Notamacropus eugenii: one gene and its partner. The protein of the gene in region 1 interacts with the protein of each later gene in a biochemical or structural test. Links are inferred from orthologs where the notes say so. Each region holds a gene or a part of one and is shown in the gene's direction. Other genes may lie near its edges.

Region 1 (7,781 bases):
AATCTCTTTCTTTTAGGAAAGTATGTATTGTCTGGGCTGTTGTGTAGTTTTGTAAAACATGTCCATAATAGTCACGTTGTGAAAAAAAACACAAAAAAAACCCTCAAGAAAAATAAAGTAAGAAAATATACTTCAATCTGTATTGGGACACCATCAGTTCTTTGCCTGGGGATGGATAGCATTTTTCATTATAAGTCCTTCAGAGTTGTCTTGGATTATGGTATTGCAGAGAATAGCTAAGACATTCACATTCTTAGAATTTTGCTTTTACTTTGTACACAGTACATTTCACTTTGCATCAGCCCATGCAAGCCTTTCCAGGTTTTTCTGAAAGCATCCTGCTCATCATTTCTTATATGTAGTACAAATAGTATTCCATTGTAATCACATACCACAACTTGTTACACCATTCTCCAGTTGATGGGCATCTTCTCAATTTTTAATTCTTTGTCCTCAGAAAAGAGTTGCTATAAATATTTTTGTACATAGAGATTCTTTTCCTCTTTGTTTTTTGTCTCTTTTTGGGACACTGGCTTAGTAATGGTATTGCTAGGTCGAAGGGTACACATGGTTTTATAGCCCTTTGGGCATAATTCCAAATTTCTCTACAGAATGGTTAAATCAATTCACAACTCCATCAACAATGCATTAATGTTTCATTTTTCCCACATCCATTCCCAACATTTGTCATTTTCCTTTTCTGTTCCGTTAGGCAATCTAATAGGTAACAAGTAGTACCTCAGAAGTGTTTCTATTTGCCTTTCTCCAATCAATAGTGATTTAGAGTACTTTCTCATATGGCTATAGATAGCTTTGATTACTTCATCTGAAAACTGATCATATATTTTGATCATTTATCAATTAGGGAATGGCTCTTATTTCTTATTGAAGTAGACATTATCCCCCCCCCCCCCCGCCCCGGAGCCCCTGGGTTGAGAAATGTCTGTTGAGTTTCTAGGTAGGGTTGGGCCCCCCTTTGCCTAGTAGCCACTTTCTGTTGTGCCCCCCTTGCCTAGCAGTTGCCCCCTCTTTGCCTAGCAGCCACCCCCCCTTTGCCTAGGAACCCACTCTCTGTCGTGCCCCTTTGCCTAGGCAGCCACTCTCTGTTGTGCCCCTTTGCCTAGGAGCCCACTCTCTGTTGTGCCCCTTTGCCTAGCAGCAACTTGGGCCCCTGTCAAAACTGTTCTGTGAGATATGTTTGCTGTTAAAACCACAAAGCTGTACTGAGAAGTGCCGAAATGCTTAAAAGGCACACACACACCTTTTTCGCGGCTGCCTCTTCTGGGTTTTTCCATGAGACAGCCGCTGGCTAATAAAGACGCTCTCAAATTCTCAGGTGACTCTTGCCTGTGCTTTTTCTCTCTCTGTCCATTTCACTTATAAATCTGAATCAGTTCTCTTTTGTCTGAAAAATGAGGCCTGTTATCAGAGAAACTTGCCTCAAAAATTTTTTTCAGTTACTATGGCTAATGATATTTTCCTCCATCCTACTGAAAGCCCTTGCCTTCACCTCACCCTTGTTTATTCCATTATCTGCTTTCACTCTGTTCCTCCTCAAGTGTTTTGCTTCTGACTACCCCCTCCCCCAATTTGCTCTCCTTTCTATCACCCTTCGTTTTTGAAGAAGACCATGACATCAGAGAAATGATGACATGACTTGCACTTGACTTTGCTTTGAGTGAGGGAGGGCTGCGAAAGGTCACCAGCCTCACTTTCTCCTCCTGAGCCATATGGGTCCCATGACCCATCAAGATGACTGGAGGTGACCCAGGATGCAGTGTTAGGCTGGCCTTTTCAGGTACTCACTTCGAGGGAGGTAAAGACCATTGAGTGAAAAGGCCTCTTTAAGAAGTAGTCAGGGAATGGCCCTTTTAATGAACAACAACAACAAAGAAATAACTAAATCAATCCGGAAGGGAAACAGAAAATGTTACCATTGATAATCACTCTAAACTAGCCATTAAGTGGAGCTTGGGCAGGGTGTTGTCTGGAAATTGTATTAAGGATGGTAATCAAGTTTAGAAGGAGTAATAATTCAGATGTAGTTAAGATCATTGCCCTCCTTGGTCCCTTCCCCCTTCCCCTCTTCTAAAGAGAGTTGTGACTCCTGGCCAGCTCCTGCCCAGAACATCCCCTTCCTCTTTCAGAAGTGGCACTTCTAAATGTGTCCCCCTGCACACAGCAGGCACGAAATAAATGCTTCTTGTTTTCTGAAGCGCCCTCTTCCCTCTCTACTCCCAATGGCCTCCTTATGGAACATCGAAGCCCAAAGCTCCCTGCATTACAGAAGTAGGAGAAGGAGGGAACGGGAACGTCACATATAAAGCCAGGCATGGTGGATGTGTCGGCTCCTTTCTTTTGGACTGTTCTTCCTCATTCTTTCCCATCTACCTGCTTATCTAGCCCTCTTCTCCTGAGTGCCAGTCCCTCACCACAAACTGTCTATTCGATATTTCTCCCACTGGCATTTCAAACTCAACATATCCAAAACAGAAATCAATTTTTGCACTATGTAGCTCCTTGGATGATGGGGAGAAGGTTCTATTTTCAAAAGGAACTGTGTTTTTATATTATGTGTATACACATATATGCACTCCTATATATACATACATACACAACCATCGCTGATAAAATATATTTATATATTTTAATGATGTAAGTACTATGAAATATAACTGTTAGATAATACCTAACAGGTACACGGAAGCGCTTTACAACTATGACCTCATTTGATACTCACAGCTACTTTGGGAGACAGGTGTTGTTACCGTTATCCTCATTTTACAGATGGGGAAACTGAGGCAGGCAGCGATTAAGCGCCGTGCTCAGGGTCACAGAGCTGGCGTCTGGGGCCAGTTTTGAACTCAAGTGTCCCGGACTCCAAGCCCTCTGCTGTATCCGCTGCCTCGGGCCAATAAAAAAAAAAGGATAAAATTCATTTTCCAAATTACCATCACACAAAGGTGCAGAACAGAAACGTCCTCCACCAGCCAACCAGCGCTTATTAAGCCCCCAAGTGCTGGACACTGAGCTGAGCGCGGGGGACATAAAAAAAAAAAATACGCAGCTTCCCACTGCCTAAAACAGAATAAAATTATTTAGGAAGAGATTGAGGTGGGGGGAGCGCAAGGATGCTAAATAGAGGAGCCCGGGCAGGGTGGATGAAGGAGCAGACAAACAGGTTAGGGAGGAGACTCCCGGGGGCGGGGAGGGGCGGAGCCTCCGCGTGATTGGCTGGGAGCGCTCACCACGCCCCTCCCTCGCCTCCCGGAAGTGCCCGGTCGTTGGCTCGCGTCTCCGCCCGGCGTTTCCGGGAGGGGAGCGAGCCGGGCGTCCCCGCGGCGCCGCGCTGGGTACCCAGCTGTGCGGGGCTTCGCCCAGCGTTCGGCGCCGAGGGAGGGGTCCGGGCGCGCGCGGCGCCCACGCTCGAGCCGGGCCTCCCGGGGCTGCGGCGGAGCTCGAGCCGCGATCGGAAGAGGAGGGCTGTGGGCCCGGCCCCGCCGCCCCGGCCGCCGCCGCCATGGTGCAAATGGAGACGCAGCTGCAGAGCATTTTCGAGGAGGTCGTGGTGAGTGCGGAGCCGGTGCGGACCGCAGGAAGGGGAGGAGGGAGAGAGATGCCTTCCCCTGCTGTGGCTCCCCCAGCATGGATCAAACGCCTGCTGTGTGCCGGGCCAAGCGCGGGGTAGCCAAAGAGAAGGAAAACCAGGCCCTCGCCCTCCCCAGGGGGGAAGACGGTGTGCACGCAACCTCGCGTAAGCAGTCTGCCGTGATCCATGAGAAGGGATTCTCTCGGGGAAAGCGCTAGCGACCAGGAAAGGATTCTTGCAGAACGTAGAACTGGAGTGGAGGCCAAAGGGAGAAGGGAGAGCATGCCAGGCAGGGGGCACGGCCCGGGCAAAGGCATGCAGGCTGGAGATGGAATGTCCTGTTCGAGCACCAGCCAGAAGCCCGGCGTCTCTGAGTTAACAGACTATGCAGAGGGGAGCGGAGAATAAGATTGCAAAGGGAAAGGGGCAGAAGTGGGAAGGCCTTTACACGTCAAGCATAAGATTTTATATTTGATCCGAGACCTCCAGGTGGGAGTAAGATTTGTCCAGTCAGACTACATAGCTGCTACTCATTTTAATGTTTTCAGGCCAATTTCTTGGGAGCCACTGGAGTTTATTAGGTAGGGAGATGAGCTCGGCCCTCCAGATAGGAAGTTTGAGGAGGACAGAGTTCGTGGGGGATTTCACCCCTTTTATTGGAAAGTGCAGGTAATCCAGAATCCCACAGCTCATCGTGTTGAGCGCACGGTTTACCAAAACCCTTAGATCTGTTTTTCAGAAGAATGGGGCAGACTGATGACAAGTAAAGAGGCCCTAGGTGAGGGGGAGGATCCAGCAGCTGCCATGGTCATGTGCAGTTGGGGGCCCTCCAGGCCAAGGTTTCTGAGCCTTCCTGGGAGCTTCTGTGTCTTGGCTTAGAACACTTAGAGATGAGGTCTTTCCTTCATGGGAGAAATGGTGAGGACGCAACTCCTTTGCCTTGTACGTTCCCTCAGGCTCAGGTGGCCTCCCTCCTCTCTGCCACTGCAGCTCCTAGTCCTTCAGAACTCCTCAAGCGCCCCCTTCTACACTGGACCTTCCCATTTCTTTCAACTATTACTGTTAATCCTCTAAAATTACCTTGTATTTGTGCAAGGCCTCTTATTTTATGGATAAGAAACAGGCCCAGCATGATTGTGACTTGCCTCAGGTCACCAGGCTGTTTCCTCTGATAGAATGTAAGCAAATTGAGAATGGGGACTGTTTCATTTATTTCTGTATATGCACAGAATACAGTAGGTGCTTCATGAATGTTTCTTGCTTGGTTGATTAGTCACTCCAAGCTAGTTTTGGTCCTTTAGTCTGAAAAAGGTTCACTTTGACTAAACCTAATGTGCTTTATTGAAGGTCACACAACAAATCAGAGTATGAGAGCCCAGACAAATTGGGAATATATTTAAGTACTCTTAAAATTTAATGGCGTTTTTTTTGTTTGTTTATTTTACAGAAAACAGAAATCATAGAAGAGGCATTTCCAGGGTAAGTATAATGCAAGATAAAAATCCGTTTATGTGGTATCTATTTCTTTCCCTGTCCTTCTCTAGTTTCTTGTCATTCTGGATATCCTTTAATAAGCACAATATTTGGTAGATAATGAGGGATCTGTGCAGGGTTGCTTTTTAATCACGATGGTGACCATTTGTATGTAGCAGTTGGTAGCAGATGATAACAGTATTTTCTTTCTTTAGCATGTTTATGGATACACCAGAAGATGAAAAAACAAAACTGATCAGCTGCTTGGGAGCTTTCAGACAGTTTTGGGGTGGCCTTTCTCAGGTGAGCACTAAAGTTTAAATAATATCTCATATGTAATGTTGTGATTTTAAAATATTTTTACATATGCTATCATATTTGATCCTTATAAGCCCCATGAGGTCGATAAGACAAGGATTTTCTTTTCAAACTTCATCTGGCAGATGAGAAAACTGTGTATATAGTTACTTGCTTTAGATGGGGAAACCAGGACTAAAATTTGTATACATTTCATTATATTGCTTTAATATAAGCAGCTCTCCATGTTGTTTTTTAAAGATTCAAGGAATGGGGATTCTGTAGTCTCTTCCTGTGTTTAACTGTATTTTGTTGGTGGTGGGTAGGAGTGAGATTCATTATGTCAAACTAAATAAGAATATTTTAATGTCTTTAAAATCTGTATAGTAGCTTTCCTGTAAAACTTTGGCAGACCAAAAGGTCAATTTACAACATAGGAGCCAAGCATTCTCTTTGTTCCCTTGTATTCAGAAACAGCAGGAATCAGCAGTGCCCTATGTAAGTTTTTTTTGTGCCAGAGGATAGAAAAGATAGTAAAGATACTTTCAGTTGGGAAATAAGGGAAGACAGGAACACTGATGGAAGTAGAGGCAGGGCCTTACTCCTTTGGTTTATCTGCAGAATCATATCCATCTTAAAGGTGGGAGACTTGACTTCTAATCCCAGCTTTATCATATATTAGCTTCATGACCTTGGGTGAATCACTTGCCCCCACCCCTTTCTCTGAGCCTCAGTTTCATCATCTGTAAAACCACAGGGTTGGATTAGATAAGGATTTCTTATCCTGGAGTCTGTGAACTTGTTTTTGAAAAAATATTTTAATGTGGTTTTTTTTGTAAGCTTATATATTTTATTTTTAGGCATTTAAAAACATTATTGGGAGGAGGGGGTTCCATAACCTTTACCAGACTGCTAGAGGGTTTTATAACAAAGAAAAGTTAAGACTTTAAGAACTTGAATAGATAATTTCTAATGTCCCTTTGTCACTGTAACATTCTGTGACCACCTAAACCTTACTTGCTCAGCCACTGACTTCCCCTCATATATGTTTAGGTATAAATTTAACTATCTCCCAATAAAAGCTTAGAAGTGATAATGGATTGTATCTGTGAAAAAGAGAAAATAAAATAAGAGTTAGCAAAGTGTATCATGAGACAAGATTATATGGGAGATAGTAACAAACCTAAATTTTATTATTTCTTACACTTCCAAATGGCTAATACTTATTGTGTAACTTGGGCAAGCCACTTAGTCCCTGTGGCTCATGTTCCTTATCTGTAAAACTGAGGCTGACAGACTTCTTCCTATCTACTCTTTTGTTAAGAGTATAACCAAAACATAGCGAAGGCTTTTTGTCCCAGACAGGCCCAACTACAGAAGGAACAGATTGATGCCACAGTTGTGGGAGCAGTACCTATAGCTGTGGTTCATCCTTCATTTTCTAAGGGGACTAATGACATCATTAGTGATGTCTTAACTTGGGGCATGAAGTGGATTTTAAATGAGGTAGAATTGCACAAAGTTGTCAGCTTCACTCCTTTCCTGAGTCATCAAAGTCCAGTGGCAGGACAAAAATCAAGACAACTGGCGATGGCTCAGGATGACTGCTGTCTTCTCTTGGCTCTCCATGCTCCACAGTTCTTGTTTTAACCACCTTCATCACTATTGGAACAACTTGTTCTCATCTACCCATTCTGCCAGGGAAAGTCTTCACATGCTTGAGTAGATGTTCCCCTACCTTACCTATGGGTTTGAGGCCTGTCAGTTTACCCTCAAACTAATTTAGCCTGACTGCTGAGGTGGTTCACCAGGGTGTGGCCATTGTACATGCTACAGCTTCTTGGAGCTACAGGTGAGAACTGGGTGAAGGTAGACACCAGAGGTGGATGAGTAGCCCTGAGAATGGTTCAGCAAGCCCTCATACCAGCAGTGCTAGCCTTCCCTGAACACCCCATACACATCTGTACATATGATACTCCACAAAACAAGGCGACACTAGAAGGGTAGGAAGAAATGTTTTTGTCTACCACCATACCAGAACTAAACATCTCCCTTTCCTGCAGTTTAACATGAGTCCAAAAAACTAGTTGCTTTCATCCCAAGCTAAAGCTGGGGGGATGGCTAATCTTTAAAGGATGAAGTGTTGCCTCACCAATAGGAAACAGGCTTGAGATAGAAGATTTAAGGTTGGGGGACAGGACAAGGTCTAGAAGACCTATTGAGCAGGAATATCCTGGTGCCTGCCTTTGGGATGGAATGTCAAGAATCCTCTTCAGGATCGTCTGCTGAAATGCCCCATTCCCACAGTGATAGTGTTCCTTCTGTCAATGCAGAGTTGGGGCAGAACTATTCAACCTGATCCATTTGTTGGGCAGAGCTAGAACTGGAAATTGTGCATCTATCGAAAAGACTAAGACTATGT
Region 2 (7,781 bases), about 220 Mb from region 1:
AACTTCAATTTCTCCCTTTTCGATGGCACCCTGCTTCCTGGCTCTGGGGGACAGGCTGAACTACTGAAGGAACATAATGAACCATTCTTTAGATGGGAGAGGGGAGAGGAAAAGGAGGGGAGAGCTCCACTGTTCCTTTCTATCTTCTCTACCCCTTGGAGCAGCTAGGTGGTATAGTGCCAGACTCGGATTCATGAAGACCTGAATTGGAGCTCTAGTTGTGTGAGCCCCAGCGTGTTAGCTCCTCTTCAGCTTCAGCTTTCCCATCCATAAAATGGGAATAATAAAACCTACCTCCCAGGGTTATTGAGAGGACTAAGTGAGATAAAGTACATGAAGCATTTTGTAAACTTTGAAGTGTTCAATGTTGACTATTATCATTATCTCGATTACTGCATAATTCCTCCCTTCCATGAAACAGCCTTCAGATTCAAACCCTTCCCTGCTTTCCTCTCTCCTTCCACCCCCTCTTCACTCACTTGCCTCAATTCCTTCCTCCCTATAGGATGGAATAAATGGAGAGAGGCCGTGCTGTGGTCCAAGGAACCTGTCCAGTCTCTCTGGAAGCTGTGAGTGGCATGGTGAAAGAACACCGAGCTTGGTTTAGAGTTGGAGTCACACAGCCTGGGTCCAAATCCCTGCCCTGGGGCTTAGGTCCCATGTTACGTTGGACAAGTCATTTCCTGTGTGAGGGCTTCAGATTCCTCCTCCAGGTTAAATAAATTGGACCCAGTTTCTGAGGACCCTTCTAGCTTGGGCCATCTGGGTCAGGGACTCTCCTCCCCTTTTTCCCTCCCTACGAGGACCCACAAGGTCTCCTCAGGGCAAAGGACACGTGAGCAAGTCCCTAGGGCTGGGAGCAGGTTCTCCCACATTCCAGGGTGAGTCGTAGGTGGAGGGTGTGCCTGCCTCGGGCTGCTGGGGGAGGCCCCCTGAAGGGCTGGGGAAAATCCTATGACCAGAGCCCCAGGCTGCTTCTGCCACCCCTGACCCAGTGGGGCTTGGGGCATTAACACCTTGTCTTCTGGATGCCATCTCTCTGTAACTTCAGAGAAGACAGCCCTGAGGCTCATTGCCAAGACAAAACCCTGGGGGGCACATGGGACTTCTGGGGCTCCCAGTCACAGAATGGTTGATTTTTTTCTTTTTTTCTTTTCTTTTTTTTGTTTAGAGGAGAGGAGAGAAAATATATGATTGTTAATTGACAATTTTAAATTTAATTTGAAAAAAAATATTGTGTCCTACCTGAAGTTGGCACTAATTATTGGGAAGGAGTAAGAAACTCACTGTGCTCTCTGTATGGGGATATAGATATATAATGTGTATATATATGTATATACAATATGGTGTATGTATAGCATTATGCATATACATACACATACATCTACATATATGTGTGTGTACACATGTGTAAGTGTATACAGACATACATGTGGGTCTACTCACATACACTATATGGGGAGGGAGGGTTGGCCCAGTCCCAGCCCTCAGTGTATCTTCTGCTTCCCTTCTCCTCATGTTTCCTCCTTCTCCTGGGGGATGTCTCCTCATTGGATCCTGGTGAGGAGACAGGGCTTGCCCCTGGTCCCACAATGGGAAAGAGACATTAGTACTCAGAGCCCAAGGATTCTCCTGCCTTTGGTCCCATTGCAGCCCCAGGCTGCATTGCCGGGCAGTTAGGACCCCTGAGGGGTTCTTGGGAAAGTTTTGACCACCAGGGGGCAGCAGGCAAGCATTGGTGAATCGTTGGGGCATAGGAGAGAGGTTGGGGTGAAGGATGAACTGCTTAGAAGATGGGGGGAGGGGAAGGGAAGGCAGTCTCTTCTTGGCTGCATCCAACCTCTCTGGATAGCGGGGAGGGGGAGGGGGAACAGATAATGACCTCCGGTAACACATCGATACTGTATATTGTTAACAACAAAAAAGTCCTTTAAAAATTTCAGTCCAATTTGAAACTCCCATTAAATCCTGTGATACGTCCATTTCTCAGATGAGAAAGCTGAGGCTCAGAGAGGATTAAGTCCCTCTACCATGGCCATACAGCAAATGGCAGGGCCTAGATTCAAAACTAAAGCCTTCTGATGTCTAGACCAAGGCTAAGGAGCAGGTTCTGGGCCAATGCCCAAAGTCCTCCATGTCTCTTCTGCTCCATTTTTGGTAGAGCAGTCCCTATGTTGCTCCCCAGAAATAGCTGCAGACAGAGCTCTGAATCGGGGAAAACATGGGCATCTGGTCCTTCGACCAACCCCAAATCCTTCCAGAATTCAAGAAGAGCCTACCAGGGATGAGAAATCAGCTTTCTCAGTCTTCCTTCCCATAAATTTTTAGATCTCCAAGCACTTACAGGGATCACCTGAATGTAAAGAGTGGTGGGGTACATGTTCCCTAAGGTCCCTTCGGAATCTTAATCCTTAAACCAGCTCCAGCCCCCACCCAACTCTGCTCCCAAGGCACCTCTGGGGGACAGCCAGGAGCCCAGCAACCCATCTCACTGTCTCTTTCTCCAGGCCCTCTGGGGAATTTCCTGAGTCTGAGGGTGGTACCACCAGGGGTGCCCACCCTCTCTCCTGCCAATTTCCCCCACCCCAGTGTCCACCCCAGAGGGTGAGGGATGACAGACACTGACAATCATTAAACCAGCCTAGCCTGATTTCCCAGCACCCTCCCGCCCGCCTGCCTGGGATATAATATGCAAATCATCAAGGGCAGGGAGCCTGGGTCCCGAGGCCAGGAAATCCCCTTGGTCCAATGAGACTGCCCGCCTCAAGGCTAACCCGCTCAGGTTACAGCAGAGGAGCTGCATATAAAATGCTCCTGCCCTGGGAGGAGTCTGCCTTAGGCTTTATTTAGGGCGGAGTGAGAAGGGAAGCCGGAGGTACCTAGATGCTGTGTTCATTTACCTGCTGGAGTTAACTTGCTACCTGGATTACCCACTGCTGCTGACTGTCCTGGGTCTTACACTCTGGTAGGTTCCCAACTCACCCCCGCAGAAAACATGCCTCAGCAGCATGGGGCTCCCCAAAGATCTAGGTAGGACTTGGGGAGGGGAATGTGCTTCTTTTCACCACCCCTCCCATCTTATGCATGAGGCTCCAATGGAGGGATTATCAGGTCTTTTACTGACTTGTCCCAATGTCAGAATCCTAAGACTCTCAGAGGTTCATGGGGTGGAGGTGGAGGGAACCTCTGATTTGAGGGGTTCTTTGGGATCAGTCTCCCCATCTTAAACTGCCCCAGAACATCAGATGCAGAGAAGGGAACCTCGGTAAAGAGGAAGAAGTCAGCATTAAAGAAATCACTTTTCCTACCTAAACCTTAGAGAGGAATTCCAGGAAAGGTTGGGTCTGGGCAGACAAAGATTTAAATCCTAGGCTACCTGCCTCCCCACAGCAATCAGCAATTTCTTGTTAACCTTGAATCTCAGCCCTATTCTTGTGAAAGCTGTATTGGGAATTCTTGATTATTGGCCCGAGGGATTGGGAGATGCTGGCTCTCCCCCTGACCACTTGAAGTGGGGAGACAGCAGACTGATATATCACTTGCTGTTTCCACTGACTAGATGAATGACCTTGAGCAAGTGGCTTAATTTACATGCAGACCTCCCTTTGTACATTTACAAAATGATCAGTTGGGGAGAATTGAATTCTTTCCAGATTGGAAAGTCTTTAGTTCCTGTGGGGATTTTTAAGGGGAGGATAAAGAATGGGGTATTGGGGGGGTTTTGTGCCCAGGCTTGCTACCTTATTAGCCCAAACCTCTGAGTCCAGAGGAGGGGAACAAGAAATGTGTCTAATATCCCAACTAGGAGCCTTGGTCTCTGATCCCGGACCCCAGTTTTTCTTTTCTTGACTTTTCTTAACTTTAACCACAGAGAGGAAACCTCATGGCTGCATCTTGTGAGATCAGCAACATTTTCAGCAACTATATCAGCGCCATGTACCAGGCAGAAGACCCAGCTCCAGCCTCATCAGCCACCTTGGGTGGGGACGACCCAGTGCTGACCCTGAGCAATGCACAGATGCCCCTAGAGGGCACAGGTGGGTCTGGGAGCACAGGGAGCCTGGAGGAAGTGGAGTGTAATCATCCAAAGAGCTTGGAAGTCAGGAAGGCAAAGGAGAAGGGAGTCTTAGATGGCTTCCCCACCCCAAAGAGAGAGACTCAGAGCTGGGATCAGAGAGAATGTAGGGGAGGAGGAGTAAGTGAGGATAGCTTAGACAGAGTGAGTGCTGGGAGGCTGGGAGTGGTTTTGGGGGGAATATACATGAAACACTAATACAATAGGGGCAGCAGTCAAAGGTCTACGGGGATAAAGTGTGAATGGAGAGGCAGAGGTGAGACGAGACGGGGCAACCATTTCCCTTGTCCTATTAACTTAGTGCCCTCTTCCTTTGCTAGACAAAGGCAGCTGGTCAGGAATGCTGCCCCACTTGTGGTCAAAGGACCAGGTCCTAGAATGGATTGACTATCAGGTGGATAAGAATAAATATGATGCTAAAGCCATTGACTTTACCCGATGCAATATGGATGGTGCCACGCTGTGCAACTGCCCCCGAGAAGAGCTGGGCCTGGTCTTTGGACCCCTGGGGGATACGCTCTTTGCCCAGCTGCAAGACCTCTGTGAGTGCCAAGGAGGGTTCTGTCCCCCACATATCCCAGGGTTAGAGCCACCAATTGAAATGACACTCTCAAGGGCTCTGATGGCCAATCTAGAGGGCAGGTTAGAAGTCTGAGTTTGACCAGAAAGTTAAGGGAGACTGGTCTGGGGGTTCCAAGTCCTGGCAAACTAGTATATTTAAGTAGGTGCCAGGATTGGCATTAAATTAAGCCTTGTCCTAAGGATAAATTTAGAGAAGGTGGGCCCTGTGGTGGGAAGGAGCCTAGAGTCTCAGCCACCAGCCAGATATGGATTATAGAACCCTGTAAAAAGAAGAAAAAGGTGAGGGCTACTGAATATGCCCTGCTGATACCTTGACAGTAACCCCCCATCTCCTCTTTCCACCCTCCCACTTCACTTCCTTCATGCCTTCCTTCTTTTCTCTAGCATCTGGCTCATCTGATGAGCTTAGCTGGATCATTGAGCTCCTGGAGAAGGATGGACTCATTTCTCAGGATATCATGGGAGATTCCACCTTTGGTAAGAGTCCCTACCTTTCCCCTTACTTCTACCTTCTTGATCTAGCCCCAGGAACTTTTAAACCAGATGACCTCCAACCAGCCTAGGGTAAATTGACTTCCAAATCTCCGTGATTTAATTCTCTTTGGGCAAACCATCTAACCTCCTAGACCTCAGTTTCCTTTATTAATGGGAAATAGGGTGTGGGGGGTGAGAAATGGGAGTATTAGATTAGCTGAACTCTAAGGACTCTTCTGGCTCTAAATCTAGGACCTGTCAAAAGTCCTGAAAGACCCTGGCCCCAGGGACCCAGCCAGTATCCTCCCCCTTACCTGGAAATATACACGCACTTTGTCTTCCAGGACCCTCATGAATATGCCTATTTTCTGAGATAGCCAGCCCCACCCCATTCCTCTGTAGTCAGTGCTTATCCCTACTATCTTCTCTCCCCAGATCATGGCAGCCCTTTCAGCCAAGATTTGTTGGATGATTCAAGGTTGGCCAGTCCCTATTATCCAGGAAGCTACGGGACAGGGGCTCCTTCTCCAGGCTGCTCAGATGTGTCCACTTCAGGTAAGAGTCCAAGTCTTGGAACCCTGAATCTCCCAGGCTCTCAGCTTTGTACCCAGGGCTACACCTCCTATAAGAGGGACAGGGTTAGCTAAGGAGAAACAGAGCTCAGCCAGACTTGGGACAAAAGGACTCGGATGAACCTGGGCTGAGGGTGTCCAAGCCGTTTGCTAGCTTGGGGGATTCACCGGGTTTCCTTCCTTCCCTCATCTAGGGACTGGAACCTCCCAAAGTCCCCACTCAGACTCTGGTGCAAGTGATGTGGATTTAGACCCCACAGACAACAAACTCTTCTCTTTTCCCAGTGGTAAGTGAGGGGAAAAGGTTATAGAGATGGGCCCTCCCCAGTGTGAGAGGGCAGGCAGATGGTCCCTGATCTATTTGAGAGGAATAGTGGTGGGATTCAGAGTTGGTTGTCTGGAGAGGGGAGTTAAACACCCAGCTAGGTGAGTTATCAAGGTCAGAGTGGGCAGTACCTGGCTGGGCTGGCACAGAGTATGGGACTGATGGAGGGTCAGAGGCTCAGAGATCAGAGTGAGTGAGAAGTGATGGGTGCTTTGAATGCTCCAAGGAGACTGTTTGATTAGCTAGGGGGTGGAGGAAGGAACCAGAGGCCAAGTGAAAAAAAAATGACGGGACCCAAGGGGAGGGGAACTAAGGGAGCTTCTCCTGAATCCTTGAGGGTATGAGAAAACAGGTTTTAATATAAGTGAAAGGAACGGTGAAGGCCCTTAGGAGTCTTGACTTCAGCCATGAACCTGCTTGAGTTTGGATTCCTGGCTAGGGAAGCTGGGGAGGGAGGGAGGAGAAAGTAATGACAGATATCATTCCTATACATTCAGAGATACTGGAAAATAGATTGGACTCCCAACTTACTCCCATTTTCCTTCCTTCTCTCCTAAGACAACTTCTCTGACTACAAGGAAGGGGACCTGAAATATGGGAAGAGGAAACGAGGACGCCCCCGAAAGCTGAGCAAGGAGACCCGAGAGTGCCTGGAGAGCAAGAAAAGCAAACATGGTAAGAACTAACCTCTTACTATGGTTGTTGCCATTGGGGCAGGAGTGGGCAGGGGCAACTTCTGTTTGGGGTTGAAGGGGTTAAACAGTCTCTGGCACTGCGTAATTTCCAAAGATCTTCCTCAGTTTTATGATCTCACATTTAGCTTCAGTTTCCTCATCTGTCACTTATAGCTAAGGATACCTGCCCTGTTTGTGAAGTAAGTCAGGATTTTTCATATTGTTAAAGAAACTGAGGAAAGTAGCTTTCCCAAGGTCACACTGCTGTTTTGTGGCAGAACTAGGAATCACAGAATGTTAGAGCTAGATAGCTTCTCTAGTCCAGTCCTTTTATTATATACGTGAGGAAATAGAGGCACAAAGCAGTTTATGACTTGCCTTTTAAGTGGTTAGCCAGGCCCCAAATCCCATCCTTATAGCCCAATGTTCCTTTATGCCAAGAGGTAAGTCTGTTCTGTTGGGATGAGGAGAGGGACAACCATCCTTGGGACATTAAATTTGGGAAGCAGCAGACTATATTAGAAAGAAAATTGGATTTGGCCCGGGTTCAAATTTCTGCCACTTAGACATATCACCAGGGACCATTTATTTCACTTTGGAGCTTCAGTTTTTTCAGCTGTAAAATGGGGAATAATAATATTCCTGAGAGTGATTGAATGTCTTAGTAATCATAATTGGGACTTATCATTATCATGATTCCCCTCCCCTTTTTAAATTTTATTTTATTATATTTTTTTTTTACTGTGGTCTTCTCTGACCCTTAAGGGAATTGATGAGAGACTGCCGGAAACCCAAGTAGGGCTCATCCAAAAGTCGGGATTTGTAGGTTTCAAGTCTCTGGATAGAGCCCTGGATTATGGTGAAAGGAGATGGGTAGGAATTGTTAGCTGCCTTTTGCCTTTTTCTTCTCCAATCAATTAATCAATAAACATTTGTTAAGAGTTGTTGCGTTGTACATAGATAAACACTCCTTGACCTCAAGGTATTCAGGTTCTGTTGGATGAAACCATATGTATAGAACGAATACAAAGGAAGTAGAAGACAGCTGATGGCTGTGGTGTCCAGGGTTACTGGGTCAG

What was found.
Region 2: the proteins of mediator of RNA polymerase II transcription subunit 23 (region 1) and ELF3 form a complex in vitro, tested with the Homo sapiens proteins (4 studies listed by BioGRID, with this or other methods). The link is inferred for Notamacropus eugenii from reciprocal best matches to the Homo sapiens genes MED23 and ELF3.

Annotation. Positions count from the first base shown.
Region 1 is NC_092873.1:216,605,882-216,613,662, reverse strand, and holds the start of mediator of RNA polymerase II transcription subunit 23, read left to right. Parts: upstream 1-3,313; 5' UTR 3,314-3,520; coding exon 3,521-3,568; intron 3,569-3,581; exon of another isoform or gene 3,582-3,754; intron 3,755-5,036; coding exon 5,037-5,068; intron 5,069-5,277; coding exon 5,278-5,365; intron 5,366-7,781. UniProt on the Homo sapiens protein: Required for transcriptional activation subsequent to the assembly of the pre-initiation complex. Component of the Mediator complex, a coactivator involved in the regulated transcription of nearly all RNA polymerase II-dependent genes.
Region 2 is NC_092873.1:438,366,130-438,373,910, reverse strand, and holds the start of ELF3 (ETS-related transcription factor Elf-3), read left to right. Parts: upstream 1-2,832; 5' UTR 2,833-2,965; intron 2,966-3,871; 5' UTR 3,872-3,883; coding exon 3,884-4,037; intron 4,038-4,395; coding exon 4,396-4,617; intron 4,618-5,041; coding exon 5,042-5,134; intron 5,135-5,566; coding exon 5,567-5,686; intron 5,687-5,897; coding exon 5,898-5,990; intron 5,991-6,586; coding exon 6,587-6,703; intron 6,704-7,781. UniProt on the Homo sapiens protein: Transcriptional activator that binds and transactivates ETS sequences containing the consensus nucleotide core sequence GGA[AT]. Acts synergistically with POU2F3 to transactivate the SPRR2A promoter and with RUNX1 to transactivate the ANGPT1 promoter.